Xenopus tropicalis: one gene and its partners. Each later gene encodes a partner of the first gene's protein in a complex. Links are inferred from orthologs where the notes say so. Each region holds a gene or a part of one and is shown on either strand. Other genes may lie near its edges. The genes, in order: srsf1, arvcf and pa2g4.

The links.
Region 2: srsf1 (region 1) and arvcf share a complex: the UniProt entries of both Homo sapiens proteins name them as parts of the ribonucleoprotein complex. The link is inferred for Xenopus tropicalis from reciprocal best matches to the Homo sapiens genes SRSF1 and ARVCF.
Region 3: srsf1 (region 1) and pa2g4 share a complex: the UniProt entries of both Homo sapiens proteins name them as parts of the ribonucleoprotein complex. The link is inferred for Xenopus tropicalis from reciprocal best matches to the Homo sapiens genes SRSF1 and PA2G4.

Annotation. Positions count from the first base shown.
Region 1 is NC_030678.2:76,099,237-76,110,843, forward strand, and holds srsf1 (serine/arginine-rich splicing factor 1), read left to right. Parts: upstream 1-5,846; 5' UTR 5,847-6,100; coding exon 6,101-6,294; intron 6,295-7,275; coding exon 7,276-7,517; intron 7,518-8,344; coding exon 8,345-8,517; intron 8,518-8,768; coding exon 8,769-8,963; 3' UTR 8,964-9,941; downstream 9,942-11,607. UniProt on the Homo sapiens protein: Plays a role in preventing exon skipping, ensuring the accuracy of splicing and regulating alternative splicing.
Region 2 is NC_030677.2:154,939,713-154,950,666, reverse strand, and holds part of arvcf (armadillo repeat protein deleted in velo-cardio-facial syndrome), read left to right. Parts: intron 1-8,007; coding exon 8,008-8,135; intron 8,136-8,269; coding exon 8,270-8,420; intron 8,421-9,382; coding exon 9,383-9,575; intron 9,576-10,790; coding exon 10,791-10,902; intron 10,903-10,954. UniProt on the Homo sapiens protein: Contributes to the regulation of alternative splicing of pre-mRNAs.
Region 3 is NC_030678.2:137,648,451-137,659,404, reverse strand, and holds part of pa2g4 (proliferation-associated protein 2G4), read left to right. Parts: coding exon 1-20; intron 21-409; coding exon 410-515; intron 516-1,675; coding exon 1,676-1,745; intron 1,746-2,451; coding exon 2,452-2,544; intron 2,545-2,957; coding exon 2,958-3,021; intron 3,022-3,711; coding exon 3,712-3,790; intron 3,791-4,753; coding exon 4,754-4,832; intron 4,833-4,918; coding exon 4,919-5,052; intron 5,053-7,002; coding exon 7,003-7,097; intron 7,098-9,381; coding exon 9,382-9,509; intron 9,510-9,734; coding exon 9,735-9,788; intron 9,789-10,954. UniProt on the Homo sapiens protein: May play a role in a ERBB3-regulated signal transduction pathway. Seems be involved in growth regulation. Acts a corepressor of the androgen receptor (AR) and is regulated by the ERBB3 ligand neuregulin-1/heregulin (HRG).

The DNA of each region.
Region 1 (11,607 bases):
TGTCTGGTCAGTACTGAAATCTGTTACATCTTCTAAGTGCACTCCTAAATATTATGCCTTGCTATGGTACTACTAATAGACTACTATCGAGAATGCTTGGGATCTTGGGGTTTTCCAGATAAGGGGTCTTTCCGTAATTTGGATCTACATAACTTAAATCTAATAAATATCATTTAGGGCGAAGATAGATGGGGTGATTAGTGATTTTTTTAAAACCCGTTCACAGCGCTGGAACAGCAACTAATCTCTGTGCACAAGTACAGTGGGGAATTAGTCATCACGACTAGATATTAAGAATTGCACCGACTAATCACCCTGCCTTCGAACTTAAACATTAAAAAAACCCAATAGGATTGTTTTGCAACCAATAAGGATAAATTATATCTTAGTCGGGATCAAGTACAAGGTACTGTTTAATAATCACAGTGAAAAAGGAAATCATTTTTAAATATGATTTCATTAAAATTATACAGGTTTTCCAGATAACCGATCCTATACCTGTATTTTTTTAGTGTAAAATGTGCTGATTTTCTGTATCTGATATATTTGTAAACAATATTGACATTGATATTTAATTGAAGAATCACACAAGATAAAACCTGTTGATTGGATATTATTTTGCTGAAGTTATTGTTTGAGCATGTTGATAGACATTCCTCTCTTAGATTTGTACATAGCAGTATTGCTTGTACAAGCAGACCTTTGCTTATGTATTGCATTGTTATATGTAAGCATTGTTAAAAAACAAATGTAAATCCAAGCACATGCTTTCAGCAAACAAGACTACTGTAGTAAAATATCACTCTGATAGAAATATGGAAGATTTAAGTGCCAACTGGGGGTATATTATATTTTTCTGCACATTCAGCATTTACATTTTTGCTGTCAGAAACCTTATAAACTACAAAAATTTTATGGGGAGGGTTGGTGGCAACCTGCCTAAATTCAGGCTTAAAGCAAAAGTAACACTAAAATAGTGTAAAAAGTAAAAAAGCTATTCTACCCTGCACCAATAACTGCCCTATCCTGCAAACCACTTAGTAATAGAAAATACCTGCTAAAACTTGGCTTCCTGTCAATTGAACTACGGCATATCTGCAAAGAAAGGAGCAGCAATCACTATGCGACGAACTATGGATCGAGCCTAGCCTTCTTTCTGTATAGGAAGGAGTCAGGCTAAGCTCGATCAATCGATCGTCGATTTAGTGTTACATTTCCTTTAAGATTAGACCGTGGTTGACTTTGGCATGCATAAATGTAGATACAAAATATATTTGTCATCTTACACCTTTAAAATAAGACATTTTTCAATTTAGCATTTTGAACTTAACTGCCTGTCACTGCATACAAGGGATACATTTTAACCACAAATTACATATTTGCCCATTTTTTTGTTGCCCCCATATCCAAAGTAACAAAGCAAATGGCTCCCAGCATGGACACACTAGGGTTCAGTACAGTATTTGTATTTTCATTGCCTAGGAAAAAAAAAATAAATACACAGTACTATGACTATAGACTTTGTTTTGTATCTGAACTAAATATGTACATGATCATTAGGATGATATCCTCTGTGTTCAGTAATACACAGAATGTAGCAATCTAATTGCAAAAAGAATACAATTGCCTTTATTGTGGTCACAAGGCAACACTTCTGTCTTTCATTAGCTGGTCATCAAGCCTGGCTTGATGTGCATGGTGTGCACGGTGTTGGTGTATCCAACGCTCTCTTCCTCCTCCGTTTTCTCTGTTTTCAATAATGCGTTATTGTTATACTGGGTCTGTACTCACAGGGGCAGGCGTCAAATCTAAAATGCAAACAAAAATTGGTCTTTCTTTAATTCATATTAGTTTGCCACCTTTCCTCAGACAGGAAGTACTGCTGAAAATCAGATGTGGCTGGACCACAACTCCTTGGAGTTGTAGCAAAGCCACCTGCAACCAGGGATTGCTGAAGTAGGTCAGTGCATAATATCCAAACTACCACACCCACCATTCTGTGCATCTGCATGGGATGCATCAATCTGTGCAACTGCATGGGATGTTTGGTGTGGGAGAGGGGGAGGCAGTAGAAATATGAAACTAGGGAGAAAGAAACAGAATAAGGGCAACTTTCCAGTTTCAGTGATTCGTATACAAGCCCTGGCATTAACATCCTGTTGAATGTAATAGATATGCTGATTAGGTCAGATCCAGTTATATGATAATTTTGTTATTTATAAGTGGTAAGTAGGACACTGACTGAATAAAAGATATTTACATTTGTAGACCTTAGGTTAATGCTAGACTGAGATGTTTCTCTGCCTATATTGTGTCTGCACTCAGAGGCATTGTGTTAGCCCTGGTGTAGACACAAATAGCAGATAGCATATACCTCCAAGGACAACAACTGAAAGTAGCTCATACCCCCACAGTGTTATTTGTTCTATTCTTTAGGAAGCATATGCTTTGTTCCCTCCTAGTAGATAAGGTAAACTGTAGTGAGAGGATGTTGAGCTTTTTTTTAGGCATGGAAGAATAGCATTGTTTATACCCTAATTCCAACAGTTTTTGTGAAAAGCGCACGCTTCAGGAATTCAAGACTTCATTCATCTCAGTGCTCCGTAAACAAGGGGATTATCTGTTCTGGAACACTGGTTCTTCAGGACATGTATCTGCATCTGGCAAGCACACCAAGATTTCATTAGCACTGTCATGAGGAATTGCAAGATCCAAGATTATCAATTATAATTTATAGCCCTTCTCTTCAGCCTCTCATCTTCCCATAAATATCATTAACACATTTATGGTGCTTGTAGTAGTATATACACTGTACTACACTTAGATGATTGACTGATATGTTCAGGATTTTCAAAAAGTTACTACTAAATCAAATATTATTGCCATGCAGCACACACAGTTCCTGGATGTATTGATGGATTACTCTCAAAGCCAGACTGTTCTTCCCAAGAAATTCCAAGTCTGACAACAACCCTTTTTAATCTTTCAACACAGGCAATAACCCCAAAAATACTCTGTATTTAATGATTACTTTTTAAAAGTCTGCATCAGTTCTTGCTTGAGTGATTGCTGCCTGTTGAACAGGAACCCACTGCAATGTGTGGAAGAACAGACCATGTAAACAGATCACCATGTACTGGACTTTTTGCACATAAAACTGTAGTTATTTGACTACATGAGTCCATGCCAGAGGCAATTAATGTGGGGGTTTTGAGGTGACGTGGAGTCTGGGGTTTTATGCTCTCCAGCTCCAGTGGACTGCAGTTTGTGCTGTGTTTGTAAACAGAGCAGGTTTTTGTGCCCATAGCATTGTGCTATATTCTAAGAAGCACAGGATCTGTATAGGGACATTCAGGTTTTAATACATTTTTTCCAGCTTCAGAGAGGCAAATGGCTAACTGCAGACCCAGATTGGATCCAGATATGACAAACTGGGACGTGACTAATCTATACCCACAGCAGACTGATAATTCACTGCAACTATTCTGTTTAAAATACATAATCCACAGCTCTAGAATTCAGCATGAACTCCAAACTTTAGGCACAAAATTGACAATTGTTTCCCTTTTTGGTACCGTTTGAGTGGATATGTTTTAATTTCATTTTTACAACTGTATGGATTTAGATACTAGAACAACAACAAATTCCTTCTTTTGAAACGGATGCCCTTGTGTCTGCTGGAAGGACCTACTGGTAAATAAAGCATTAGAGAGATAATATGGTCCCCTTATATAGTTATACATATATACGGGGATCATAAATGAGAGCGCAATTGCTCTTTTTAATCAGAATTTTTGTTCTTAAGGTTGCCAGAAGCGACACTCCTGTTAACTTGCCCGGCACTACCATCAGAGGCAATTTTTTCAACTTTTCAACGTGCTGCTGCCATGAGGATAGTTAAGAAACTCACCTTTGGTGGCAGCGCCCGGCAAGTTACCAGGGGTGGCAAAAAAAGATCTTAAAAAATAAAAAGTAACAAAGGAAAACTATATCCCCAATCACTGTAGGTCTCTATAAAATGTATTGCATAAACACCCTTGTGTAAAACCCTGCTTCATCTAAATAAACGATTTTTATAAAAATATACTTTATAGTAGTATGTGCTATTGGGTACTCCTAAATAGAAAGTTGCCATTTTAAGAATTAAGGGCCGCCTCCTGTGATCATAGGATTCACAGTGCACACAAACAAGTCAAGGAAAATATGCATGCTGGGCCCCATCAGCCAATTAATGAACAAAGTTCTGCCTTCTTCCTGTTACAGTTAGAGCTGCATTATTTCTGGTCATGTGATCTCTGAGGGCGCACACAGCCCATCACTAAATTGTGGATCAAGGAAAAGGATTTAAAAGGGCAATATTTACTGATATATATATATATATATATATATATATATATATTCCAGTTTGGCGAGATTCTTTAATAGGTCACTCTGCATAATATAAACTATCTGTTGGTTAAGTATTCATTCTGGGGGTATAGTTTTTCTTTAAAGAGATGAAATTCTGAGCGCTATTTCTCTCTCTACAATACCGATGTGGGGGGAAGCATCAACTTGCACACCTATTCATGACAGTACCCCTTGCCCCCTTTGTTCCACTGTCGGAAGTGACCTCTCAAAAGCTATATTAAATTTGTTCAAAGAAATTTTTGTTTGCTAAAAGGCATACATTTTCGAGTATTTTTCTGTTATGGATTTTTTTTACATTCCAGCATCAGTTTCTTAAATACTTTTGCACTTTTTGAAGTGCTTTTCCACTTCAGCCCAGGGTTGCACTCCCTACTCTGTAAAGCGCTGGGCAATATATAAATGTACGTATAACTTTATTTATAAAGCGTTAGAAGGGTACACAGCGCTATACAATCTTACAATATACACAATTACACACAGGGAGGACAACTGTTATAATAAATACAAGAAGTATAAATACACAGATTGAGCGCCATGTGGTGTGAGAGAGTAGGAAGGAGGTCCCTGCCCCATAGAGCTTACAATTTCACTGCCCAATCTAAGCTCGACTAAAATAAAACAAACAAATATGCACAAGGCCCAAACAGGAGTGTAATGTAAGGCATGTATTTATTATCAACACATAAATATTTGTAGAGTGTAAGCTCTTTTGGGCAGGGCCCTCTTCACCTCTTGTATCGGTTATTGATTGCTTTATATGCTACTCTGTATGTCCAATGTATAAAACCCTTTTATTGTACAGCGCTGCAGAATATGTTGGCGCTTTATAAATAAATGTTAATAATAATAAATAGGACAAAGTCTTCCCAACCTTGTTTGCAATATTACCCTGACAGCAGTTACAAAGTATTGAATTGCAGTGCTACTTTAATGGGGAAACCATTGAGAGTGGACCACAGAGACCTTATCCGCACACCCTAACACTCCAAAAAAAATTTTGTACGGTGCACACTGCTAGAGGGATCGGCACCCTCCAAATACACTGTAACAACAAAAAAAGCAATTGGCACTCAGGACTACAAACAAGGGTAAAACCCTTTTAAAAGTTTTATTGCGGAAACCATTGAGAGCACACCTGTAGTTAATGATTTTCATACTCATAATGAATGTCACTGCAGATAAAGAGCTAACAGCCTCCGACCATGGTTCTATAATACAAAACCACCTAACAACAGCCATGGCGCACGACGAGTAACAAAACATTTTTCAAACAACACCCACTGCCCTCCCCCACTATGGGCGCGCATTTCCTGGACGGACGTGACGTCAAGCACAGGGTATAGAAAGCCCCCCTATCACATACAGAGAAGCAGCTTGAGCTCAGGTTTCTAGTATAAATATTACCTCAGTGAATAGATTCTTTCTTAGGGCCGTAATTGGCACATAGCTTTAGGAACATTGCATCGTGAAGACGTGGAAACGAGAGGCTCTATATTGTCTCGGCGTAAGATTACCTTTGTTGAGGACGCACCACTGCGAGTTCTTAGTATCCTTGCGCGGCTAAAGCAAGGGAGGAAGTAACTCCGCCATCTTGTCCAAGCTCTGAAGCGCGCATCGAAGGTCTGTTTGGCTTCCAACTCCATTTCTTTTTCTTCTCAATCCGTCTCCCTTTAAATCCATCAAGCTGGATATGTCAGGGGGCGGCGTGATTAGGGGGCCGGCGGGTAACAACGATTGCCGTATCTATGTTGGCAATCTGCCGCCAGACATCCGCACCAAGGACATTGAGGACGTTTTCTACAAGTATGGGGCCATTCGGGACATAGACCTAAAGAACCGCAGAGGGGGCCCGCCATTCGCCTTTGTGGAATTCGAAGATCCAAGGTAATCCCTGTGTAAATGTTTTTGCTTTGGCCTATCGTGCTAATGGGCTCGCCTAGTGTTAACTGGTGAATAACTACAATATACCTTGAGTGTATCCGGGGGCGGGGTGGTGGTACTGCGACTTTATTTCTGCTGTAGTTGATAAAATGTCGTCCGCTGTTGTATTAGAGTTTATATATAGTCGAGGAGGCCAGTGAGGGGGGGAATTAGGCCTGATTATGGTGCAGGTTATGTTTCAACATCGGTGCGTTGTATCATTATTCAAGTTAATATATTTAGCCTATAATCCCTACAGAGTGGCGCCAGAATGAGGTATTATACACTCATTGTGTATCGCCATTAGCACGTGTAAATCCCTATTTATTACCGCCTTTAGGCAACAGCGCCCCCTGTGTGTGGGACCGAATAGCGCTTCCGCTCTTTGTTCTGCAGCCCTGCACCATGCTTACTAGTGTGTTAAGGGAAGGCATTCTAACAAGCAAATGTGCTTTGGGTTATTTATTGACCTGTTTGCTTTAAAGCCGCTGCCTCATGTCTCTGCTATAAAGCATGCAATTAGGCTCACTGCACTTATTCAACCAGAACTCCTAACACCTTTTATGTAGGCTGCTTGGAGAAGTGCAGTATTGATATTCAATAGCAACACTACAAAATGAATAATGGGTGTTTAAGCATCTGCACTATATGCACATATGTAAAGTATTGGTGAAAATGTACTGTTTAAATGTAAATACAAAAGCTTTTGTGTAGTCATGGGGGCAGCCATTCATGTCTAAAAGACTGTTAAGATACAATGGCTTGCTTACACAGAATTAATCTGGGGTCATGTGTCGTTTGTAGCTCTATACATGACTGTAATAAAGTTTTCTCATTTACAGCCAAGAAAGTTTTCCAGGATATGTAATTACCATTGTAGGTGAATATTCTCTTCTTAACCTGGCATTCTTTAACTAAAGCAATTCTTACCTTGGTTTCTCTTAGGGATGCAGAAGATGCTGTCTATGGTAGAGATGGCTATGATTATGATGGCTATCGCTTGCGTGTTGAGTTTCCAAGAAGTGGGCGAGGAGCTGGAGGCAGAGGTGGTGGTGGTGGTGGCGGCGGCGGAGGAGGAGGTGGTGGAGGCGGCGGCGGCGGTGGTGGTGGTGGCGGCGGAGGAGGAGCTCCCCGAGGGAGATATGGACCTCCATCAAGACGTTCAGAATACAGAGTGGTTGTGTCAGGTAAGAGTTCTATCAGGTGGCAGGTTTAAAAACCAAAGTAAAAACATCAGTTGCAAAGTTTTAGAGGAATAATGCCCATCAGGTTTTTACAAGCAGCGTTATTTCACATGTATACAATAATGAGTTGGACACAGTTATGCATACATTCTAAAGTATTATGCATTCTATACCAGTGGATATGACTGACCATTAATGTATACAAACAGAACTACTAGTATATCTCCCTTTAACTTTAGTTCAGTTAACGGCTTGCATCAGCTTAACAGAACTTAAGCAACTCTCTGCTTGGTCCTTGCAAGGTAGATAATTGTATTACAGTTCACACACAATTCTCCTGCATAATGGACTTCAAACCATGCAGTCACAAGAAAAGGGAAGGATAGGGTATTGTCTTCAAACAAGATATTAAATGGCCCTGTCTGGTTGCTCAGGATGCTATCTGGACTATGAAAACTTGCACATGTTGCTATGTTACCTTCAGTTCAAACATGAAGCACTGCAACAAATTTACCTTTAAAACGTACTAAATGTAAACCCCTGAGTTATTTTAGCAGAATTGGGCTGTTGTGAGTCTCGCTGGAAGCATGGTTCAGATTAAAACAATGGGTTTTCCCCAGGATGCTGTGTTCATTTAAGCAATACAGCTGTCTTTGGACTGTTTTAATGCTCCATGCATTGCTGTATAACCAGCATAGATACCTACTCTTGGAATTTTGGCACTAGAAGTTCATAAACCATTTTAAATTTCCACCATTTGCATGCTTTTAATTATGTATAAAACTGCTTTTGATACCAAATTTGACACTCTGATAACTTTATATTTCTAGGGTTGCCTCCAAGTGGCAGCTGGCAGGATTTAAAGGATCACATGCGTGAAGCAGGTGATGTATGTTATGCCGATGTGTTCCGAGATGGTACTGGAGTTGTGGAGTTTGTGAGGAAAGAAGATATGACATATGCAGTACGGAAGCTGGATAACACTAAATTTAGGTCTCATGAGGTAAATACTAAATTGTTTAGTAGTTTGTGTTAAGTTTTTCTCTACCTATTGTGACTAGCAGTATCTGTTTTACATGACCTCTGAAGCCAATAGTGATGTTGGCCAAATACATAAGGTGCCAAAAGATATGGGAATTTTAAATTTTCTGTATAATGTACTATAGTTGCTTGACTTTTATCGTTCTTTGATGTGCCTAAGTTCATAAGATATTGAAGATTGGCTTGTTCAAATCCAGCTTCTCTCATTGATAGGGAGAGACTGCCTACATTCGTGTTAAGGTAGATGGTCCAAGAAGTCCCAGCTATGGAAGATCGCGGTCACGCAGCCGCAGTCGTAGCAGGAGCCGTAGTAGAAGCAACAGTCGCAGCCGAAGTTACTCTCCAAGAAGAAGCCGTGGTTCTCCACGCTACTCTCCTCGCCACAGCAGATCTCGCTCTCGTACATAAATGAAAAACACGTGATGCTTTTTGTAGACCCTCATGTTGTATACAGTTTTCTTTACTTTCATTTTTTTAAGTCACTGTTTTATTCAATTTTGCCGAAGTGTTGAATCCTTTGTGTAGTATTGCCATCAGACTGGCTCCTTAATGCCCTCATTTCCCTCATGCCTAAAACTGTATTTTAACTGCTAGATTCTTCCAGTTTAGCTAGCCACTCTTCAGAGGCACCAGCTGGTGTTTACTATGGTTATGGCACTGTGGGTTTTGGTGGTTGATTACCATACATTCTAACTTTTTTTTCCTGGGGGAATTCTTGTTTTACCTTGCCTTTTCATGTGTCTTTCTGTAGACATATCTGAAGAGATGGATTAAAGGATTGTGGAGGACATTTCAATCATTTTAGGATTATCAAATGGAGGCTTGAGGAGGATCAGATCAAATATGGAGGCCATGGTATGACTCCAAGTGCTACTGTTAGACAAAATTGGCAGTATTGACCTTATGCTGAAAATTCTTGTTTTAAGAGAACAATTATTCATAAGTGATACTGTGATCTGTTTTATAAATTTAGTCCTGTGCTTGTAGAACATGTCCTTTTTCTATTCCTGTCTGTAGGGGTATTTCCACAATACATGTGAATGTCTTGTGGGCCTCATTCTACTAGGTAGAGTATAATATCAATACTGCTAAACATGCATGTCCTCTGTGGTTCTAAACATTGCTCTTGTTTTAATTGTCACATTAAAAATCAAATGAACTCAGATGTTGGTGTAAATTGCTGTGGGAGGGATACACTTTTTCAGCCTATACCCATTGCAGACTGAGCTTTGCAGATATATGCTGACATTTACATGAATGCTGTTGGCTGCTTGTGACTGATCAGTCATAGCTTATGCATAGCAACTGCATACCAACAACATGCTTACTTTCCTCTGTGATACCTTTTTTAATAAAACTTCACCCACTGTAAAAATGGGCAGTCCTCCTGTGGGTCCAATTGTACTTATTGTAAACTGTTACACACAAAATTACTTTTTTTTTTTTTTGCATGTTTTTTTCTCCTATCTTTTTCATATCCAAGAAGATATAACAGCCTTATGCAAGCTCTACCTGTAGAAATATTTTCTTTGGTATCACTTCCCAGTAACCTATAAATTCCACCTTTTTGTAATTCCTACTCTTGTATTGCTCCCAACAATGAGTCTGACTTTGAATGATACCTTAGTTATGAATAAGGAAGTGCTAATGTGAAATAAATGAACCAACTCTTAGGTAGTCCCATAACCAGCCAGGATATTAGCAAGGATATTGATTAGGGGAGAGAAGTAGATAGTCCTTGTTGATCATACTACTATCTAGTAGTCTGAACACTAAAGCATATGAAACTGGCACATTCAAGCAATGTATGTCTAGCTTAGTCTTATATCTACAAGTATTTGAAGGGTAGTAGTTTGGGCACCAGTGGATTAGATTAGATTACTTTTTCTATTCATCATTGTACATGATTTGGCTTATGCCCAGTGCATTGTACAGTCAAGCTGTTCTCAAACTGGGATGCATGTTATAACATTCCAGTGCATTGCGTCAAAGAATGTGATACTTGCACATACCTTTACTTAGAGACTTGACCCTTACTAGTGGTAGCTATCAGTCTGTGGGGTAGCTCTACTTGGCCTCCTCTAGAGCATTTTTCCACAATCGTTTGAAAGGAAAAGGAAATTTGGTTTATTTATATCCTGGTGGCTTTAACACTGAGCCCTATAATTGTGCTTTTAAAGTGTGATCTTTAGTGGTGCAGGATGATAGGACCCTGTCTAGACTTATTCATGGCATATATGCTACACCCCCAGGTTTTGTTAAATCTATTTGGGCCATGGTAGGACTGCTTTTCTTTTACTTAAAAAGGATGTATCCAATAATGCTCCTGCTGCATGTTCTCAGTGGGTGTTGGTAAAGATATCACAATATGAAAAGTACATCTGTATGTATTCAAGCAACTGCTTCAATGCTGAGCTCATAAGCTTCATGCAAACAAATATTTCAGGTGTAACTATATATCTATATTCCTGCAGATGGAGCAACCTTTATTTATGCATCTGACACTCTGCACAATAATTCAGTTTGGGATACCAGTTGTGGCTGTGTGCTAGATGCTTAAATTGGGTCTGTTTTGTGTGTAAATCCCTATACCACTATTCAATAGATAATTTTTGTTTTGGGAAGCTGTGTAGCTATTTGTGCAGTCCTGCTCCCTGTAGGATTACATGAGTAACTAGTCTGCTCCCATAAACTTGTCTTAATACTATCTAACTCTGCCTCTTTTTTTGGTTTTGCTGGTTATAAAGGTTTGGATTGGAGAGGGCTCACTGGATCCCAATCCTGGAGCTGGATCATTGGATTCAAATCATAGGAATGAATAGGATAGGGAGGATGAATAACCAGGATTCATGGAGCGGGATCAGATAACAAGGAACATAGGAGTGGATTCCTGCCCCATCTAAACCGCATTCATGTGGAATTTTTATTTTTTCACATCAATTGGCTATTCCATAGAATTTTTTTTTTTTTTTCCTACGAGTGAAGCCCTTAGGATGCAAGAAGGAGCTTGCTTTTTTTTTTTTTTTCCTTTGTGTGTTAAGAGCAAAGAGGA
Region 2 (10,954 bases), on another chromosome or scaffold:
GGTAATTGTATGGTGGTGCAGCAATACAAACTTATATCTGTATACTGTGGGGCCTATTTATTATGCTGTGTAAAATGAAATTCATCAAAAAATCGGTGTAGAAATTTGTGTAAGATAAATGGCAATTTTATCAGGATTAGTTTTATTTTTTGTCATCCAAATGGTAGATTTGGCACCATTATTTTACGCCCCTTCAGATGTTGTGTAAGTTCCAGCAGAAGTTGCGTTAGAAATAACAAACTTCAAAACTATGCTAAATTTTACGTTCCAAAGCGGGGTGAATTTTGCTATTTTTACATAAATCTATTTATATAAATCTATTTATTTTACATACATTTTTAGCACACTTAAGGTATTGAGATCCAAATCCAAGTCCCCTACCTGTACCTGGATTACAGTAAAAACCTTTATGGTGTTATTAGATGCTCTGCATAGTTGTGTTAATCTTCATTCACTTAGCTATACCAGGTAACCTGGTTAGATGTGTTGTGTTAGTGGATGGGGTGCCAGGTCCAAGCAGAGATTACAGTAGTGGTTGGTGCTGTTGGCGTTGGCGCACATTGAATCAGGGTTACACCTATTTAGTGCAAAGTTCTGCATCTTTATGCCTTTTCTCTAGACAGTGTTTATCCCTCTGCATGAGTGTTTTGTCTAGTCTTCATGGCAAATATTTCCATAATATAAACCTATGGTATCACCTGTATTTGCATCCTCCAGGCTTGATTTTGTGGCTGTTAACTCTCGGGGATGCAAATGTTAAAAGGTATCCAAACCAGCCTCAGCACCTGCAATGAAAGAGTCCATTTGCCAGGGGCAGAGTCATGAGGCACAGAAACATGGCTGGAAGAAGGACTTGAGCAAAAGGAAAGATGATTTGTAATCCTGAGAGAGGACAGAAGAAAATAAATTAGATCGCGAGAGAGGGTTTGGGGAGTATTCAGAAATGACTTTGGTGTCTGTATGGTGAAGATTGGCTTGACACAAGCAGCTTATATTATATTGGGTACTTTGCGATTACTATCTGGCATAAACACCAGTGCAGTAACTGATGTTACACAGAAAGGCTAAATAGAGTATACAAATACAATGGAAGTGCGACTGATCTGGCCAAATTAACTACAAGCGTACAAAAAGACAGGGGGATTGATCAATGCACATTCCCTGGTCCCCTGTTTCATAAGTAAATTATCTGTGCTAGTGCATGTGTTTACAAAAACAGGAGTTTTTAGTTACAAAATTATGATCATAAGATTGGTTAGCCACCAGGGGATGTGCACTGATCAATCCCCCTCTCTTTTTGTATGCCAGTAACTGATGTTGCCCGCTTTGCCCAGACTAAATACTGATTATTAATTGTGCAAATGAATTGCATAGGTCTGTGACTTTTTTCCCATTCATCCTGTTTTCTGCCTTTTAATTGGTATGACTATTATTATTGTATGTATTTATTTATTTTCACACTGAAAAGCTAAAGTTTTCCTTTATCTTTGGTTTGCTTCCCTATGTCTTCCTATTTTTGTGGGTGGCCAGACACAAGTTCAGAAGACAAAAAGATTTACAATGCTTCTTGACTTTGTGTTTATGTATCTTTGTAGCTTAAATATTTTATAAGTAGTCTGGTTTCTGTTAGGCCTCTCTTGCGAATTTAACTGCCTGAGATATTCAACGCAAGTGCACTCAAGGGACAGCCATCCTCAATTAATATCTCTAGCCACATTTAAGCAGCTTGGACACCCTACTGCTGTCAGCTTTGTACATGCAGCCACTGACTGTTCCTCAGCCCTTGGGTTTTCTTATTTGCTACAATCCAGAGATGCCTCATTGTTTTCTGGACATACACCAGGAGCATTTAACTAGAGCAGTGATCCCCCAACCAGTGGCTTGTGGGCAACATGTTGCTCCCAGTGGCCTCAAATCATGTCTTAATTTTTAAATTTCTGATTTGGAAGATCATGGCTACTGCCAAACAGAGCCTCCCGTGGTCTGCCAGTTCACATTGGGCTACAAAATAACCAATCACAGCCTTTGTTAGTCAACCCCTAGGAACTTTTTTCATGCTTGTGTTGCTCCCCAACCTTTTTTTACATTTAAATGTTGCTTACGGGTATGAAAGGTTGGGGCCCCTGAAACAGAGTAAATCAAGTGACTGTATGGAAGTTGGGGTGGGTCATGCAAATAAAAATATCAGCTCCTCACTGGAGCAAATTTGAGTCTATTTTGGAATGGAAAGGGTACATTTTTTTTTCTATGTACGGGTACGTTTCTTTTCTTAAACGTTTTTTTTTTTTTTTTTTTATTCTAACCTAATTGTATCACTTTTAATGAGTGTATGTTGTATGTTTTATTCAAATACAGCACGCATTTGGGATGTGTGTATTTATATTTATGATTATAATTATGCAGAAGGTACTTCTGTCAAAGATCAAAGGTTTGTCAGTTTCCTCTGCGTGGCGTGCAGCTCAGCCTTCCATTCCATGTGGCATTTGGGTGTGCCTGTAAAATAAGCATGGTATATAGGATGCCATAACTTACAACCGGGTCAGGCACTTGAGATCCAGTCTTCCACAGATGTTGTCAAGCTGGCATTAGAACAGTTTTATAGCCATCAAGGGGGACTGTTGCATTCATCCCTTGAATATTTCAAGCTGACCTGACTTTGAAGCTGGGCCTTGGGAGCCCTTTGAAGCAGTGTTTTATCTAGTTCCTTAGTGTTCTCACACGTTATTTTATTCATGTACCTCCTTCGTCATCCTCTTCTCCACACACGACCACTATGCCGTCTCCTGTTTTGTTTCTTAAAGAAATGTTTTGTTTTTAAACATTTTTATGCATCATTCAAGCTGTGCAATTTTTTTTTTGTTTGCTTTAAAAAAATCTTTTGCCAGATTTGAAACTTGGCCACAATTGCTGTGGTAAGCTCTGCTCTTATTTTGCTTTTTGTTCTGGTTTAAGGTATTTAGACAGTACAGTATATCATAGAAGCAAACACTGCTGTTTTTCTTGGAATGGGCAGGTATGGGGGGGAAGCAGCCTACCTAACACATATATTGCCCTCCAGATGCCTGCAGCTATAACTACCTCACTGTTACATGGAGCACTTGTCACACTCTCAACTAAACTCAACAGACGGCTTTGCATCTTCTGGAGGATACTGATTGGGTAGCCATGACAACAACAGTGCATTTTGGGCCCCTGCTGACTGCTCTATAGAAGCCTGTTCCTTGCAAGGTTGTGTTTGCTTTCACATTTCCTTACTTTTTTCCTAACAATGTTAATAACACCCACCTCTTATTAGCTACACTACACATTTGTTATCAATAGCTCCCTCTAATGCATCTCACCGATGCTAAACAGCAGGCAAGAAAGTGTCTTTCAAGAGATCATTTTACAGTCCTTTTCTGCAAAGGTGACAAATCCTTTTCCCCGTCTGTTAGACTTCATTCTTTAGTAAAAGATATTAAGCCAATACCCAATACAGGCATATGACTGCATCCAGAAGTAGAAGTTCTGGTCCTCTATGTAGTAAGAGGATTTGCTGCTGTTCTGTCTATAGACTGAAGTGGGCAGCATTGGAAATGTACAGTGGGGCAGTGGCTCATGTTGGAAGCAGACAGTACCTAATTCTGCCAGCTCTGTAGATTGTTTCCATTTGCCAGTTAGACCTGTGCCATTATATGTTTGGAAACACTCAAGGTCAAAGGGAATGATGCCGAAATGAGCTAATTTTTGTACTAAAGGGCAACTGAATTCCAAAATCAATATGTTAAGGCAGAGTGCTCTGGCGCGACTTCAGATAGACCTCTGTGTATTTTCAGGTTCCACATTGTGGCCCTCTTTCTGCAGTCCCCCAGAAGGTGCATGGAGTGCTCTGCCTACTGTGGCATAATACTTAAAGATTAACTAGCAATAAAATATCAACTGTGATGACTTGTTACCCCTTAAGGTTGCTAGGTGCATGCTGAAATGGTCTGCGAGTTTAGCCACTTGCAGTGGCACAGGGTTCAGGCTTGGCCCGACATCTGTATTCAGATATTAGACAGTTCTTCAAACCTACTGTTTTTCTATCTTCCATTAAAGAGGTTTTTTAATGACTTGGTACTTCTAATATAACAATTCTGAATATTGAGACGGGTAGGATTTGCTGTTCGGTATTAAAGCTAGGCTTGTGCTTTTATACAAACATCTACTGGTAAAATTATAACCACCTGTAAAGCAGGGACAGAAAATTTTAGTTAATCATTATAGCTCCCACGTCCTCTTTCCCAGTTTAGCTGATGAACACTGGGAATTATAGGTCGGTCTTGTGTACAAAGTACCTATGAGAACCTTACACAAAATTCTATAAAGTTTATATGTATGCGCTGCTTTACTGCTTCTGTTGCAAAGTTCTTTAGTGCGTGACACCTGGTTGCTAAATGACACAGGGTCTGACCATGGCCTATTTGCCTGAGATTATATTCTTACACCTTTATTACACAAGCTTTGATTCAGCCTTGTGTGGAGTGACATGGAGGGATACAATTGCAGAATTGTGTATGGTCAGTGTCTCTTCATGCAGGAGATTAGCTGGATATTACATTTTCATTTTCCAGAGAATTCCCCTTTAAGTGCTACTTGACGCTTCTCTATGATTTGGTAATTTTTATATATAGCTTCATGTGGATTTATCTAAAGAAATATTATTAGCAGGGCATTGCCCTCAGTTTAATGCATTCACCAAATACCTCAGATTGCTCTGTGACTTATCCAACTGTACATGACCGACATCAGAGAAATAAAAGGTAATCCCCATATAGGACGTGACTACAGTACTGTACACTGGAGCTGTGGCGGTGGTAATCACATGGGCTGACCCATTAACCATTTCTTAACCACATATTTTCCCAGTGTTAACATTGTGCTGCAAATGATACCAGTCTGCAATGGTGGCTCGGTGCCTGGGAATGTGGGGCTGGAATTCCAAGCTTAGCTAAACAAAAGCTGTTAGTAGTTTGCAGAAGTATTTTCAGACAACGCAATGGCAAGGCCCTTTGTGAATGTGCAATTTTAAGTAATGTATTTTTGGAAATACAAATCCTTGCCTTACATTCTGACATGCATAATAACTTTTGTGTTTGCACAGGGACATGTATTAAAATGGATGTCTCTTTCCCCTGTCTGACAACGCAGCAGTTGTGTTGTACTTTATGGTGGGGATAATAGCAACTGTTATTAGGACAATAACACAAGGGACAATTTCCCGCCATATGGGTGGCAGTTGTCCTTCTGTTGACCTGAATGGTAGTCATCTGGATATTGCTGATGCACTTGCAGGTCAAGTTATTATTGCTCAGAAATGTTGCCCCTTGTGCCATTAATAGGGTGCCAACACCACCATTGTCTGAAATCCTATCTGTTCGCTGAATACATAGCTGAAGGATTTTGGACTCTTAAAGGCAATTGCACACACAGCAATTTGTTGCCTATAATTATAATGGCCAGTCCTGCAGGCGACAAATCTCCTATGTGCAAGAAAGTGGATTGGAAGAAGGCATTTTTCTAAGATTACTCCAGTAAAGTGTTTTGTGTTTGGAAAAGCCCATACTTTCAAACGAAAAAGGTATTTTTCCAGTGATTTTCTGCTGGCGACATATCGTTGTCCTAAGCACTAAGTTGGCAGATATGTGAAGGGTAAGAAAGCTTGACAAGACAAGGGAAACTACTTCACAGCAGTTTAAATTGAAGGGGTGTTTTTATAAAATATTTTATAATGCGGTACATTATTTATTATAATACACTCATTTTAGAGTGTCATGTGATAAAAATGACTTCACTAATCCCTGATTATCTGTTGACATCACTAAGCATCATTTATATAAACATAATTTTGAATGGATTTTCAGGGCTCTTGTGTGTTATGAATCAATTAAACTTTTGCATCATAACAAATGTACCTCCTGTTGTAAAATCTGAGTATTATATGAGGATATAAAAGTAACCTTGAAGTTCCACTCAGCCTTCAGCCTTGTGCTTTTATATGGTCATGGAACTCCTCCTTATATTTTACATGTTACTCACTATATAAAGTGTTTGTTGTAATCTGTTCTTATGGACAGCACCTTTGATGCATGATTTATTGACATCCAGGTTCAATAAATTTCAGTGGGCCATATAAATGCTGTTCGTGACTACAACCACTTTTTTATGGAATGCCACAATCCTTGTAAAGGCTCATTTACGAATGCCTTTCACTGTGCAAATTTCCCCTTTTCTGATGCAATTTGTCTGCCAGACACTGGATAAGAGTAAAGGTGGCCATACACGGGCTGATTCTAGCTGCCAATATCGGTGGCTAATTGGCTCATTGATGCGGTCCCCGATCCGACTTCTCCTATACCCGTCATTCTAATTTGATTGTTTGGCCCCAGAGCCTGGATTCGCCCGATATCGCCCACCCATAGGTGGGGAATATCGGAAGAAGATCCGCTCACTTGGCGACATCGCCAAGCGTGCGGATCTGAAGGTGTATGGCCACCTTAACACCAGTGTTTGTGCCAACACCCCTTATCTGGTCTCTAATATATTACGTCACGCATGTACTTTGCATTTTTCCATGCATAATACCTTGGCCACAGGCATTCTCATTAGATGGTTATCACACAGCTCCATCTTTTAATGGCTGCTTCATTCTTTGTATTCTATGAAGAGTCCCTTATTTTGGCCTTAACTGAGGCAAGCAGTATGACACTTTCATCTGATTCATATCCTTTCAGATATGCACAGTATTCAATTTGTGTGCAAGCAATAAGCTATGGTCTCATAATATTTATATAAAAGAAACTAAATGTCAGATAAGCCGTTATTGCTTTAATATTTCAGATGTCTTTCTCCTGGGGCTTAAATGTTAGATCTTACCTGGTTATCCACACAATCGGGTTCTTTAAGGAGCTAAAATATGTAATGTGATGGTATAAAAGTTAAAGGGGAAGTCTTAAGTAGAATAATACATTCCTCAATATATGTGTTTTCATTTGAGTTCATACAAGAAGTGTTTTCTCATAAGAGGGCAAAGGGTTTAGTGGTGTAAAGAGTTGGGGCAGTGCTGGATTCAAGTGGTATTGCATATACAAGCCTATATAGAACACAGATATGGATACAATCCAGAGGATTTTGTTTTGTTGTGCTGTTTAATACTGTTGCCACGTGGGGGCAGTAGCAAGACTTGATTTTCTCAAGGTCACTTAAGGAAATGTATGGCCTGCTACCAACAGTTCAAGCTCAATAAAAATGGTAATGAATTCAAATTTAATAAAAGATTTCCTTAGGCATCTATTACTGTATTAAAAGAACTTGTATAAAGGTTGATTTGCCCTTTGTATTCAAGCAATAAAAAGTCATTTGTTCATGCAGAGCTGGCTAGGTATATTCTGGGATCTTTTTAGAACATACAAATTTAGTGTCACATCTGTTATAACGAACACACCACCCTTCTAAAAAAAAATAAATAAAAAAATTGCGTTTTCCCAGTTCATGTACTCTTTAATTGGTCTGTTACTCTTGAAGTGCTACATACAATGTACTACATAAAATATATACAGAGATATACATATATATACACTCCAATGTTCCTACAAGCATTAGTTGTGTGCGCTGGCCTCTGAGTTTGTGTGTGCACACAAGAGCAAAGCTAAAATGGAACATTAGTTTACACTTCAGCTTCTTTGAGTGTTTGGTTCTGATATCTGATGGCCGTAGTCCATGTTTTTTTTTTCCTATGTTGGTGACAGGTAGTAAGTTTCCTTGGCTGACCTTGAGAAAATCCAAGTCTTGCTACTGCCCTCATGTGGCATAGTATTTAATAGCAATACTGATCATTTTCTCAACTCTTATCTTTTTCCCTATTTACATCGTTTGCAGTGACTTTCTTACCTGGATGCCCTATGTTTAATGCTAACCATGCCACATTTTACTAATGACATTCCTAATGAAGCAATCAATAAGTGTGGTTCCTCTTTCCCTCTTCTGTAGGTTTTGAACTTCTGTACCAACCAGAGGTGGTGCGTCTGTACTTATCTATCCTGACAGAGAGCCAAAACTACAATACATTGGAGGCTGCAGCAGGAGCCCTACAGAACCTCAGTGCTGGGAACTGGACTGTAAGTGATGTTACTCATAGACTTGCTAGATGTACAGCAATACTACCACATTTCTCATATGGTTGGTGCTTAATACAAAAGATGTGGAGATTTAAAGATGAAAGTTGATTTTTTTTTTTTTCCTCTTCCTTTAGTGGTCAACCTATATCCGTGCCACAGTGCGCAAGGAGAGGGGCCTGCCAGTGCTGGTGGAGCTTCTTCAGTCTGACTCTGACAAAGTGGTAAGGGCTGTTGCAATTGCTCTGAGGAACCTTTCTATGGATCGGCGCAACAAGGACTTAATAGGTATCTTTTTTTATGGTTTTTTTTATACTTAAATTATAGAATTAGTGATTTTTCACTACTTTCTGACCTACTCCTTTTGGCTTATCTCTCAGTGCCTTTCATTCTGTGTGATCTTCTGTACTATTTACACTGCTGTTTGTTTACACATATACATAGTAACATAGTAAGTTGGGTTGAAAAAAGACATACGTCCATCAAGTTCAACCATAATGCCTATATATAACCTGCCTAACTACTAGTTGATCCAGAGGAAGGCAAAAAACCCCATCTGAAGCCTCTCTAATTTGCCGCAGAGGGGAAAAAATTCCTTCCTGACTCCAAGATGGCAATCGGACCAGTCCCTGGATCAACTTGTACTAAGAGCTATCTCCCATAACCCTGTATTCCCTCACTTGCTAAGAATCCATCCAGCCGCTTCTTAAAGTTATATAATGTATCAGCCAGCACAACTGATTCGGGGAGGGAATTCCACAACTTCACAGCTCTCACTGTAAAAAATCCTTTCCGAATGTTTAAATGGAACCTCCCTTCTTCTAAACGAAGTGGGTGCCCTCGTGTCCGTTGGAAGGACCTACTGGTAAATAAAACATTAGAAAGGTTATTATATGATCCCCTTATATATTTATACATAGTTATCATGTCACCTCTTAAGCGCCTCTTCTCCAGTGAAGAAGGAGGGAGAGGGTTATAAGTAGTTATCATTGCTGTGCACCATATGTTGTGGTACTAATAAATGTTTGACAACACTATTGTACTGGATATCCAATATTTGTTTCCTTGCTTGCTTCCTTACATTACACATTTATATTCCCTATATAAACCAATTCGTTTTAGCCCACCTGTAAATGGCTTATTCTATTAATCCATTTTAACCCACCTGTATATGACTTCAATTCTAATACAGTAGCATGAGGTTTTCAGAGGAGGAAAATGCAAAGGGTACATCTATGATTTTTCTTCAGGTAACTACGCCATGGGACAGTTGGTTCGCAACTTGCCTGGAGGACAGCAACGTCCCGCAAAAAACCTTGAGGAAGACACTGTGGTTGCTGTTCTGAACACCATTCATGAAATAATCACAGACAGCTCAGAGAATGCCCGATCCTTAATACAGACACAGGGGATTGAAAAGCTTATAACTATAAATAAATCCAGGTAACTCTTTCTTCTAGTCCTTTTTTTTAACCACAATATTTAGGCTAATGTCCCACAGAGAGATTAGTTGTCGGTGGAAAAGCATACGCATAGCCTCATTTTTCTAAAGCCGAGCAAAGTTTCCTCCATGGGGCATTAGCCTTTGGCTACACTGATCAGATTGTGTGAAACTGAGGAAAGCTATTCCTTTAATCTTTTATTGGCCTTATCTAGGTATCCTTTTACTATAAATACTTCAGTCGCTTAATCTCTGTGATACAGACCCATTTAAGCTATCTAGAAACACTAGTGGATATTTGTGCTAAAGCAGACGGTGCCTTAAAGTATTATCCTATTACTATTCTGCTCTCTGGGCAGGGTCTGTTTACCCTATACTATAGAATGTAAATGTGCAGAATGAATGAAATTAACCATCCAATATTATTTCCAAGTGGATTTATATTATATATGAATTTCAGTAACTGCCTCTATTTGTTCTTTCTCACCAAATATTACATGGTGCATCTGTTTCCAGTCATCTATTGCTGCTTAACCTCTTCTTCCCTATTATTATTAAATATTTTTATTACTGCCAAAGCAGTATGCACCCCATAGAGACAGTACAGGCAAAAGACTGTTTTAATTGAGCAACAGACCTTTAAGTTACATAAGATGTAGAAATCAATTAAATAACAAGTTTTGGCTCTTATAGGTTGCAATAAAAATGCCTGTTGCACCATATGGACTAACTACTTTAATAATCAGTCATTTGTTTGCTTCATAAGGGTCCAAAATACTTTTTTTGCATAAGTTTTATAGCTATAATTCAGAGCAAGCAATTGTGTTGCAGCTTGCAAGAATTGGAGACCATTTGCCTAATGGGGCTAACTATGTTGTGGTGTTTTGTTTGTAGATTTTAAAAATGTAACTTTCATGCCTCGCGCATGTGTGTGTGTCTGTCTGTCTGTCTGTCAGCCTAGGTTGCAGGGTACCACTACTGTGACATGGAAATTAAGTTAGGCATAATAAGGAGCTGGACTAGTGCTGAAAAGAGCTGCTTTACAAAAGATGTGATACAGCAGCCCTACCCATTTTTATAGACATAAAGCTCACAATGCACATAAATATTTCAATTACTGTAGCATAAGCATTGCTAGGCCAGTTCCTTTCTTGTATATATTCCTGGGGTGCTTTGTGTTCTTTGTAAGATGGATGTCCTTTCTAATTTCTTATTAGTCAGTCTCCAAGGGAGGTGAAAGCTGCCTCACATGTCCTGCAGATGGTTTGGAGCTACAAGGAGTTACGAGGGGCACTACAGAAGGAGGGCTGGAACAAAGCAAACTTCCAGGTATGCAGGCTCAGCCCATATGATGGTCATTGGGAGATAATAGGTCAGGCTC
Region 3 (10,954 bases), about 62 Mb from region 1:
GGAGAAGGAAATGAAAAAAGGTATTGAGTACCTAGCTTTCTAATCAAATAAGGCATTAAATTGTAAGTAGCCAAGATGGACAACTTCTAAGACCTTGCACAGACAATGCCTGTTGTCTTGCTAATAAATGCCATTGGAGAATACACCCTGCGTTTAAAATAAAGACGTGCGCGCAATTTTTTAATGTAGCGGTACACACCAGAAGTACAGAAAAAGTACAGCCAAAGCATAGTCCTAGACAGAAGCTAAGAAACACCACTGTGATCTCTCCAGACTTCAACCTTTGACAGGAAGGCCTGTGCTGTCAGGGCCCTCCCATGTAAACATATCCTTTAAAATAAAAAGTATTTTGTTTATGATGGTCTCTGCTTTATCACTTTTCTGATCCAGTTGCATCTTTATGTTGCAGGGATTGCTTTTCCAACGAGTATATCTGTAAATAATTGCGTGTGTCATTTCTCACCTCTGAAAAGTGACCAAGATTATCTGCTTAAGGATGGCGATCTGGTGAAGATGTAAGAGGATTTGTCTGCTAATAAGTTTGTTTCTTTAACCATAAAGTTAAACTGCTGTAATAAGCTAATTAAGTATATTGGCCCTTCCAGGTTATTATTGCAATAAAGGACATACAGAAAGTCTTAGTAATCTTTAAACTTAATGCTGAGTCCGATTTCATCTTAGTTTTGCAAAGCTGCATATGAAGGCAGAAAGAAAAAAAAGCCTGCTTGCCCATAGAGCAAGGGGACCTGTCATCTTAAGAAATAATTAAAAATCCATTTTATTATGTAAGTTGCGCAAAATAAACTTTACATACACTACATAAATTATACAATCTGGTTTCCCTCAGTCTTGCAAGTACACAATCACAGCAAGCCGGCATCTGCCATTTTATTAATGCAAGCTTTGCATCATCCCAAATTCTTGAATATGGTCCACGATCTGGTACCTGGTGCCCGTGTGTGTATAGAAAACATAAATGCAATGACATCTAGGAAGTGCTGAATGGAATGTTAAAATAATTGCCTGCCCCGCCCCTAAGCACGAGGCTTAGAGGCGGGGCAGGTTATATATGTTTGACAGCTCATATTTTTAAATGCATTTATAACAGGTGTGGATGTTATAATAAAAAAAAGAATTTGGGTTTCATGTTTACTTTGCAATGAACTTTTTTTTATGCAGTTTTTTATGTGTTGGTAATAGGTCCCCTTTAAGTCTAAATGTGGGTAATAAGAGGGTACTAATGCTGCTGTTTATAGCTGTTGGGGCACAGAGTCATATGTGCACGGACTGAACTATGTACATATACTGAACTAGATATGCATAGTCTGCACATATAATATATATATATTTAATTCATGAACTATAAATACCTATACGTTCCTTTTGCATTGTTCACTCTACCCTATACAAAGATTGTAACACAAAGTGCATATTAGACTCCACTAAGCATAAAACAGTTGATGGGCTGATCCCGTGCCTATCAGTGTATACACATTCAGGTAGGAAAAGGCAGCAGATCTGCTTTTCTCTGCTCATGTATAAATATTAGTGGAGAAACTGACCCGTGTGCCACTAGCCTTAGAGTTAATAGCAAAGTACATTTTCTGATAATATTGCTAAACACACGCTGGCATTTTTTTTTTCTTGAAAATTGTTTTCATTTTTTTCTTTGCAGTGATCTAGGAGTTCATGTGGATGGCTTTATTGCTAATGTTGCCCACAGCTTTGTTGTTGGAGCCTCAAAGGTACCCTTTTTTTTATTTTCATATTGTCAGACATATCTGCTAAGAAATTTGTTATGGAATTTTATTTTACATTCATGCCTCATAAATGACAAATGTTTGAAATATAGAACATTATTAGAAACTTTTAGCTCATACCTGTTTTCTTTGGAAAGGTACCCTTTTTAATTGTAGCTATTACACTGGAGCAACTGCACTAGAGGTAGATTTTTTTGTCAGGGAAGTTGAATTTTTAAAAACAAAGAGGGATGAAAAGAGCAAGTAAAACTTTTATGGTCACCTTAATTAAAAGAAGGCAAAGTAAGAAATGTAATTCTGGGGAGCTCGGGTACCACTTTCAATTGTATTCCCAGCCTAGCCTTCAGAAAAAAGCAGCTTTGCGGCTCACAATTTCCATCATAACTGCAAATACTGCTAGGCTGGGGCTCCATTTTCTGCAAAAAAAATAGCTTTCCACATTCTGTTTTTCGTAATAACTGGCACATTTCTGTGTTGTAACTTTAATTTTTCCTTTATTGAGGTGTATTGAATCATTATTTTCTAGTAATTCTATTTTTTGCTTTCTCATCAAAAGAGGTCCAGGAAATATCATATAAAAGTAAATGCTGTATTGCAGGAAACCGTAGTGTGCATGTCATTTAAAAACAAAACAATCCTAGTTCTGTGCTGTCTATGGAAACTTAAACCCAGTAGAGACGTTTTTGTTTAGGAGTGTCCGGTGACTGGACGTAAAGCCGATGTCATCAAAGCAGCCCATCTGTGTGGAGAAGCCGCTTTACGTCTTGTGAAACCAGGAAATCAGGTGAGAACCTCCAAGCTAAAATGCCGCCCCTGATGACTGATGTGTGTAGTGCAGAGCCTCAGAATAGGGCAAATAATAATTCTAATAACCCCAATAATCCAGTTTGGAATTTAAATTATCTTTGAGGTGGCCCTAGGAAATTCAGTGTGGTTTGGATGGCTGTAAAACAATTAGGGGATAGTCTGAATAGAAAGATATGTAATACAAATTAATGATACAAATCAAACCTCAGATTTGCTTGTTAACATTTTAGGCTAGCGAGAGTGTTTTTAAATGGCCTAGGTTGGTCAGTTGGCCTTGTTATGCTTTAGGTTTTTGTTGTGGCTCCCACAGTTTCCTTTTATGGTTGTTTATTGGCTGTTTCTGCAGTGTATACAAAGCACTCAGAACTGTTATTTTTCATTTACATTTAGAACTCGCAAGTGACTGAAGCATGGAATAAAATTTCTCCATCTTTTAAATGTACTCCAATAGAAGGTAATTATTTTTAAGGATTTTGTTGATGCTGCATTTGTTATACCATGCAACTCCTACAGATTTATACCCAGTATGAATTCACACACAACAAAACTAACTTATGAAGTTATGAGATTACATTTTGTTTTGTGTGAATGTTCTCTCATGTAAATACAGCAAAAATGAAACCGATATTACTTTTTACTGAGTGTTCTACATAAAGTGGATATTTCCATTCTCCTTTTGTAATGCACTTTTTTAGAGTCCATTAGAATTGCCAGTGATTAGGGATGTGATAATAGATAGATGTAAATAATAAATTAAAATGAGAAGCTGCCCACATTGAAGGCATGAGTAGTTAACCTGTCTATTAACAGCCACAACTTGTAAGACGCATTTGGGCTTCCACCCCTTAATCACATCACTATTTACCAATATAAAAGTTGGCCAGTATAGTAAGACCCTCAGTTTCTGTTCAAAGGGCAGTATAGCCCAATTTTCAGTATGAATTCAATGACTAGGCTTCTGTGCTGAAATACTTTTTGGCTATCGTTCTTCTAAATAGGGCAAACAGAGAAACTGAATCTTATGACGGATGTCCTTTTGATATTGTGTTTGTCATTGGAGAATATATGGATGATGAAATGTTTTTTTTTTTTTTTTCATCATTTTCATTATTGTATGTCAGTCATTACTTTTTTTTTTTTACAGGAATGCTTTCTCACCAGCTAAAGCAGCATGTCATTGATGGTGAGAAGACCATCATTCAGAACCCCACTGACCAGCAAAAGTAAGTGTTGACTATTAGCAGTTATTACCTTAGTAGCTCTAATGTGTTGTATAACTAAATGGAAAATGGCACCAAAGGGCATTTTTATTACCCTTTTTTTGTACTGAAAATAGAGTCTAAAGACAGATATAAGCTGGTGGTGTGAGTCCTTTTGACTGATTTGGCAGATTATCTGCTTGTGCATGGCCCCCCCGATGGCCCAGGTATCATTCGGCAGTGTTTATATTTTCTGTCCGGGGACCGCATTGCATCATCGATTTGGTCCAATGGTGCCCGGCACGAGCAGATGTTAAGATCCGCACCCTCATTTTAATTCAAATGTTTGACCGCCTCACACGAGCAGATCTTAACATGTATAGCCACCTTAATATAATGCATTTTACAACGCCACCCAGCCTACTGATACATAAGCCTGCTCTCCCAAGGTATCTCAAGGTGGCCATACAAGTAACAATTTTGATAGGAAAGACCGTCTTCTACCTCCACCTGCCGATTCAGCCCTAAACGCAGATTTTGTTCGGGCGTCTTCAATGGCTGATCGGTGAGACGACCGATATCTGCAGCCTTTGCGATATCGTTGGTCTCGTTGATCATCCAAACACGCACCGAATATCATACGAAACGAAGTACGATATCATCGGTGTGTGTATGGCCAGCTTTAGACTCAAACTTGTGAACTTTTTGACTGAAGAAACATGAGGGATAATGTGAATATACAGAGATTGTTTAAGGGTAATTATATCTTAGTTGGGATCAAGTACAAGGTTTGTTTTATTAATGGAGGAAAAAGGGAATCAATTGTAAAAATTGTAATCATTAGATTGTTAGTGAGAAAAATGAGTAATGTTTTCAGCTTTATTTTAAACTTGCACGTTATTGTATATTGCTGAAAGGATGGTTTTGGCAATGTGTATGTGAATTCCAGCAAGAATATCACTGTAAAACACATTTCTTCTTTTGTAGGAAAGACCATGAAAAAGCAGAATTTGAGGTCCACGAAGTTTATGCTGTAGATGTTCTTATTAGCACTGGAGAGGGAAAGGTAGGTTAATCAATGGATTTCATGAAACACGTCTTTTGTTCCTCAAGACTTGAATTAGTAATGCCACCGCCTTGTTTTTGGTTTAGGCAAAGGACGCTGGGCAGCGCACAACAATTTACAAACGGGACCCCACTAAGCAGTATGGCCTGAAAATGAAAACCTCCCGTGCCTTTTTCAGCGAAGTCGAGAGGCGCTTCGCTGCAATGCCATTTACTCTCAGGTACTGCAGAGTCCTTGCATTTCACTTGAGCAGCATAAACTTTAAATGGGCAGCATGCTAAATATGTATTTAAATAATGAGTTATGTTTCTGAAGCATGGATTTTTAGAGTACTTTTTTGTAAAAGCACTTTTCTCCATCATCTGCTTGGGGGACACTGGAACAGCAGCTATAGCAGGTACCACTAGAAGGCAGCATACAATAGAAGAAGAACTAGCACCATCTCCACTGGCTGTACCCCCAGCAGGTAGAGCCCAGTTCAGTTTTTTTTTGTTTTGTTCTTTTGCAACACTTTCTTTATTGTTACAGTCAGTCACTAGCCGGGAGATGTTGAAGTAGTGTGTCTCTTACTGGCATCTCCCAGCGTGGGATTGTCTTTGGGGGCAGTTTTCCCCTTTGCAATCAGGAAGTTCAGCCACACTTCTGCCCCTAAAAGTCCTCCAAACAGCTGCTTCCTCCTTCCTGCCTTCAACTTTTTTAGGTTAGTTGGCCATCTCAGTGCTTGTGCCATTAGAAGAAAATCCTCCCACTTCATCAGCGCCTATTAAATTGCTAGCCTGTTCCAGATGTTGTAAATGTTTACCCATGTACTCTCTGTAAACTGCTGGCTGGAACAAGGCCAGGAACACCCAGGAGGAACCTGGATTCCTTCAAGTAGATCCCAAAACCCAGAATGCACCCTGTTCTGGAGTGGTTCTCAGCTGGCGACTAGGATTCTAACAGCCTAAAGATCAAGAATACTAAGCGCAGGGCCCCTTTAGAAGTCTTAACATTAAGGTTATCACAAATGCAGAGCCTTCCAAAGTGTGAACTCCAATCACCTCCACCCAGAGTTGACTCCACTACCAGCAGTGGTAGTCTGTGTCTTTGGTCTTTGGAAAAACTTTTATTTCAATAAATCCTATCCAATATCCTGTAATTTCTTCAGGATGGCCATTTCATGGATCTTTCACTGGGCTCACTCAAGTAACAGGTTTTGGCCTTGTCGGTCCTCTTCCAGAAACACTGGCATTTCTTCCTGATGTAGAATCCTTCCTGCAGGGGTAGCCCATCTGGCCCCCCCCATTTCAAGCATTTGTTCCCACGTGGCACCTCGCCTTTGTCCTATGTGCACTCCAATGTCGCCATTCGAGCCTATGATCTAATTTTCTCTTTAGAGGGTCACTTAAAAGACCTTCTTCCTGCTGGCAAGAGCTTCAGCGAGGTGCATTTCCATGCTCCGTGCCTTATTGTGCCGGGCTTCTTTCCTTGTTTTCCATCCCTATAGGGTCATTCTCTGCACTGTGCCATCATTCCTTCCCAAGGTGGTATCTGCCTTCCACCTGAATCAGGTAAGGACCATTCCAACCTTCTGCCCTTTGCTGGCCAACTTTAAGGTGGTGGCCCTCCAATCCCTAGACCCCGTCAGAGCCCTCAAGTTTTACCTTCATAAAGTCCATGACATTTGCATATCGGACTTTTCTTGCCCTCTGGACCATGACAGGGGGGACCCTTACAGGTTTCCCTACCGGATGAATGTTTTTGGATTCACAATGGTGGCAATTTTCCACATAAGGGCCTGAAATGTGTTAGTTACATTTTTGAATTACAAATGAGCCATTGGTATTTGTGTTTTAATTGAGAGATACCATATTAGTGTTATTTAGTTTATGTGGACTTAACACGTGTGTCTTCTGTGGTAGCAGACATACATCATTCTGACTGTATGGTGCTAAATCATCAACATCTTCAATAAAGGTTTATAATGAATCCCAGATCGACCTAAATTGTAAATGTGTTGCTGAATTCATGCTGTTTGATTGGCACAGTTTTATGATGCACATAGTAGGTTTTTTAATATGTAAATATATTTTAAAAAAAAATGTTTGCAATTGATACATTAATGCATGTGGATCAGCATTGTCATATAATAGTTTCCTTGCTCTTGACACTACCTTATTATTTTATGCAGGGCATTTGAGGATGAAAAGAAGGCAAGAATGGGAGTTGTGGAATGCGCCAAGCATGAGCTTCTCCAACCTTTCAATGTTCTCTATGAAAAAGAGGGTAAATATAGATTGATCTTGCTTTCTTTATTGCAAATAGGGAAAAAGTGTGTAAATATATGTGCAGTGTGTGTTTAGCATCTTTTTGTGTGTGTGTGTTTTTTTTTATTGTTTTAATTGCAAGGCAATTCTTAGGGTCTGTGTATTAAGATACCAGCTAGTATTCTGCTTGGGCAGACTGCAGTATTCATTAGGCTGCATTAAAAGGGAAAGGTTTAGTACTTCCATTGTGGATGCTGTCTGATTTATATTTGCAGAAGGACTAAGTCTTTCTTATTAACCTGTTCTCAAAATATGTACACCTTTTATATATTGAAGTGATAGTCCCAAATTGTTTAAACCTTGCATAGACGCTCATCAGGATAATAAAAGGGAGGCTCACATTGGCCCTCTATTTAAAGAATCCTAGGCAAATGTGTAAGGGTCTGGTGACACTAGACATTAATTAAAGACAGAGACAAACACCAAATCCTTTGTAAAAGATTCGCCTGAATCTGAATCTTAATTTGTATATGCAAATTAGGACAAGGAAAAGTTAGAGAACAGTTTGGTGAAAAATGTTCAACTTCCTTGTATGTGATAAAAAGTTGCGCGTTTTTAAGCATTCGGATTCGGCAGAATCCAAATCCTGCTGAAAAAGGCAGAGTTGAGTCCTGAATTTGTTGCATACCTAAATGTAATTTAAAAGTGGAGTAAAACATTTTTCTGCTGAATTGTATACGGACATGGTCTGTGATATTTAACTGCACAGGATACGAGTAAACCTTGTTAATGCTGTGCTTAATGTAAATGCGATACTTAGTTGATTACATTCCTAGTGACAGGCAATGCCCCTTGCTTAATGGAAATGGACCTAATGGAAAGGATATTGAAGGTTGTGTTCCTTTCAATCTAAAAATAACAATGATACGAACAAGACTTTAAAACTTTAAGATCAATCATCAGAACAGTCATAAAAAGAAAGCAAGATGTGAACAAAAATACAGCATAGGTATAGCATCACCATGTAATATGGATCGGTATACCTTAAGTCTGCTAAAAATTATTGGAACAGTGAATAAACCCAATAGAATTGTTTTATTACCAATATGGATCCATTCATCTTACTTACCATCAAGAGTCCTGTATTATTGTTATTATGTTTTTTTTATAATGGACTGTAACGGAGATGTCTTGTCCATAATTTACTTTCTAGATAATGGGTTTCTGTTAAAGAGATCCCATACCTGTATTTATATTTTACTAAATAAAAAAAAAAGTCCAAATAAATGCAAACTGAAGTCCATTTTTTAAAAGCGCAAACAGATTCACTTCAGTCACACTTTTCAGCTGCCAGAACTGTTAGGAGCTCCATTGGCTAGTAGCACTGCTGGTGATCTGAAATGTTATCAAGTGAGTAAAAAGGCAAAACTGCCCTCCCAGTAATTTAGGGTGACTTCAGTCATTTCTCTGCCAGCTAAAATACAGTGACGTGTGTCATTAGTCTCAATTAGCTTTGTACAGTAAAGAATATAGAGATGTATATAAAATATACACACAATATGAACATAAATGTAAAAAATGATATATTGACTTCTGAAAATAATAACTCCAGATCCTAAATGCATTATATAGTGGGGCAGAAGTAGTGGCACCCAAAATACATTAAATAAAGTGAGACACTGGGTAGTGGCATCACAAATACATTACATGCAGTGGGAACTTAAGCCCCAAATACATAAAATGCAAAGAGAGGCAATGATTTTTGACACCCTAGACCCATTTCCCTTCCAAAGCAGTTTTCCTGAAGGCTATAGAAGATTTTAGCATGATAGAGATTAAATTACATCAGAAATTGTTTGCATTGCTAAACAAGTTCACTTGCCCACCTAGTGGAAGACTTAAGTATAGCACCGAAACTCTGTTTTCTTATTTTGCAGCTTGGGTTGTATTGACAGTATGTTGATTAGGAAAAACAGTAGGCTACCTGAAAGCAGTTCTAATGTGTAGCGCTGGCTCCTTCTGAAAGCTCAGACTCCGGCACAATGCACTGAGATGGCACCAATATTACGACTAAAAAACGGTGCATTATTTGAAAGTAAGCTGTGTAATTTAGATATGAAGGGATTCTGTCATGATTTTTATGGTGTATTTTTTAAGTTTAGAATGAGAAACTTTTTGTATGGTGTGTGTGTTTTAATATTTATATTGTAACACTGATATCTTTAGATAATTTTTCTGGAATAACACAGTTAAAGCATTGCTTGTTTTAACTTGCAATGTTTTTTTTGTTTTTTTAATCCTAGGCGAATTTGTAGCTCAGTTCAAGTTCACTGTTCTCTTAATGCCCAATGGTCCTATGAGGATAACTAGCGGCCCCTTTGAACCTGATATGTACAAATCTGAGCTTGAGGTGCAAGATTCCGAGTTGAAGGTGGGTGAGACTTTATCACTTTATATATTTACTGTTGATTTGACATTTTTGCAGTAAAACCTCTGGGACAGGATCATTTAACTGATAGTGCTTTCTGTACGCAAAATGCAGTGATTCCATAGAGGTTATTTGTTATCTTTTTTTTATTAACGAAGAAATGTCTTATTTATAAAAACATATCCACAAAACGTAGATCTAATATGAAATTACTGGTATTGCTTACAGGCACTTCTGCAAAGTTCAGCAAGTCGGAAAACCCAGAAAAAGAAGAAAAAGAAGGTATTGTCTTTGCTTTCAGGACTGCACTTCTTTGCCATGAATTATACAAGCGCAGGAGACTTAGGGGCATATATATTAAGCTGTGTAAAACAAATTTGCTGAAAAAGCTGTGTAAACAGAGAAGATCGACGTCCTAATGCCAGATTTTACGCCGCTATTTTACATTCGTTCCAGCGGAAGAGAAACGCGTAAAAAAAACTACGCGGTTTTTTACACAGCGATGTGTGGCAAATTTTCTCGACGTTTTTTACACATTTAACTCCATAAGCTTAAACAGTTCAACCTAAGCAAAACTGGGCAGATGTATTGTTTAAAAATGTTAGGCGCCCCCAAGCGACTTTAATAGCTTACCTTTTCCCACGGGCTGGTGCCCCTGTTAGGAGAAAACAGCACCAGCCCAACATTTTGGCACCCCCAAGTAACGTAGCCTTTCCTTCTCCTTTAATAGAAAATCATTGTCTGGTTGTTTCTATATTACAATTGTTAATTTTAGGGATTTTAGACCATTTAAAGCATACACAATCTAAGGAATCTCCATGTTGGTTGGGTTGTTTGTGAGAAGGTGGGAATGTGTAGTTGTCATTTAGGATGAGAGTGCTCATCTGTACTATGTAGTTAATTGTACCATTAAAGGGGTGGTTCCCCTTTAAGTTAACTTTTAGTATAATGTAAAATGGGCAGTTCTAAGCAACTTTCCAGTTGGTCTTAATTTTTTTTTTTATTAGGTTTTGAATTATTTGCTGCCTTTTAACTTTTTGCAGCTTTCAAATGGGGCCCAGCAGGCAAAAAACTATTGCTCTTTAAGGCTACAGTTTTATTGTTACTTTTTATTACTTATTTTTCTATTCAAGTCCTCTCCTATTAATATACCAGATTCTGATTCATATCACTCCCTGGTTGCTAAGGTAATTTGGACCCTAGCAACCAGATAGATGCTGAAACTCCAAACTGGAGAGCTGTCAAACAAAAATAGAACAACTAATAAAAATAAATTAAGACCAATTGCAAATTGTCTCTGAATATTACCCTCTAAATCATATTAAAAGTTAACTGAAAGGTGAACAACCCCTTTAAATGAGAAAAATGATAGGCAGCCATGCATAGGTGAATTTTTGCATTATCTGCCTGGTTTGGCCATCTACTTGTATGGCCAAGTAGCACCTACC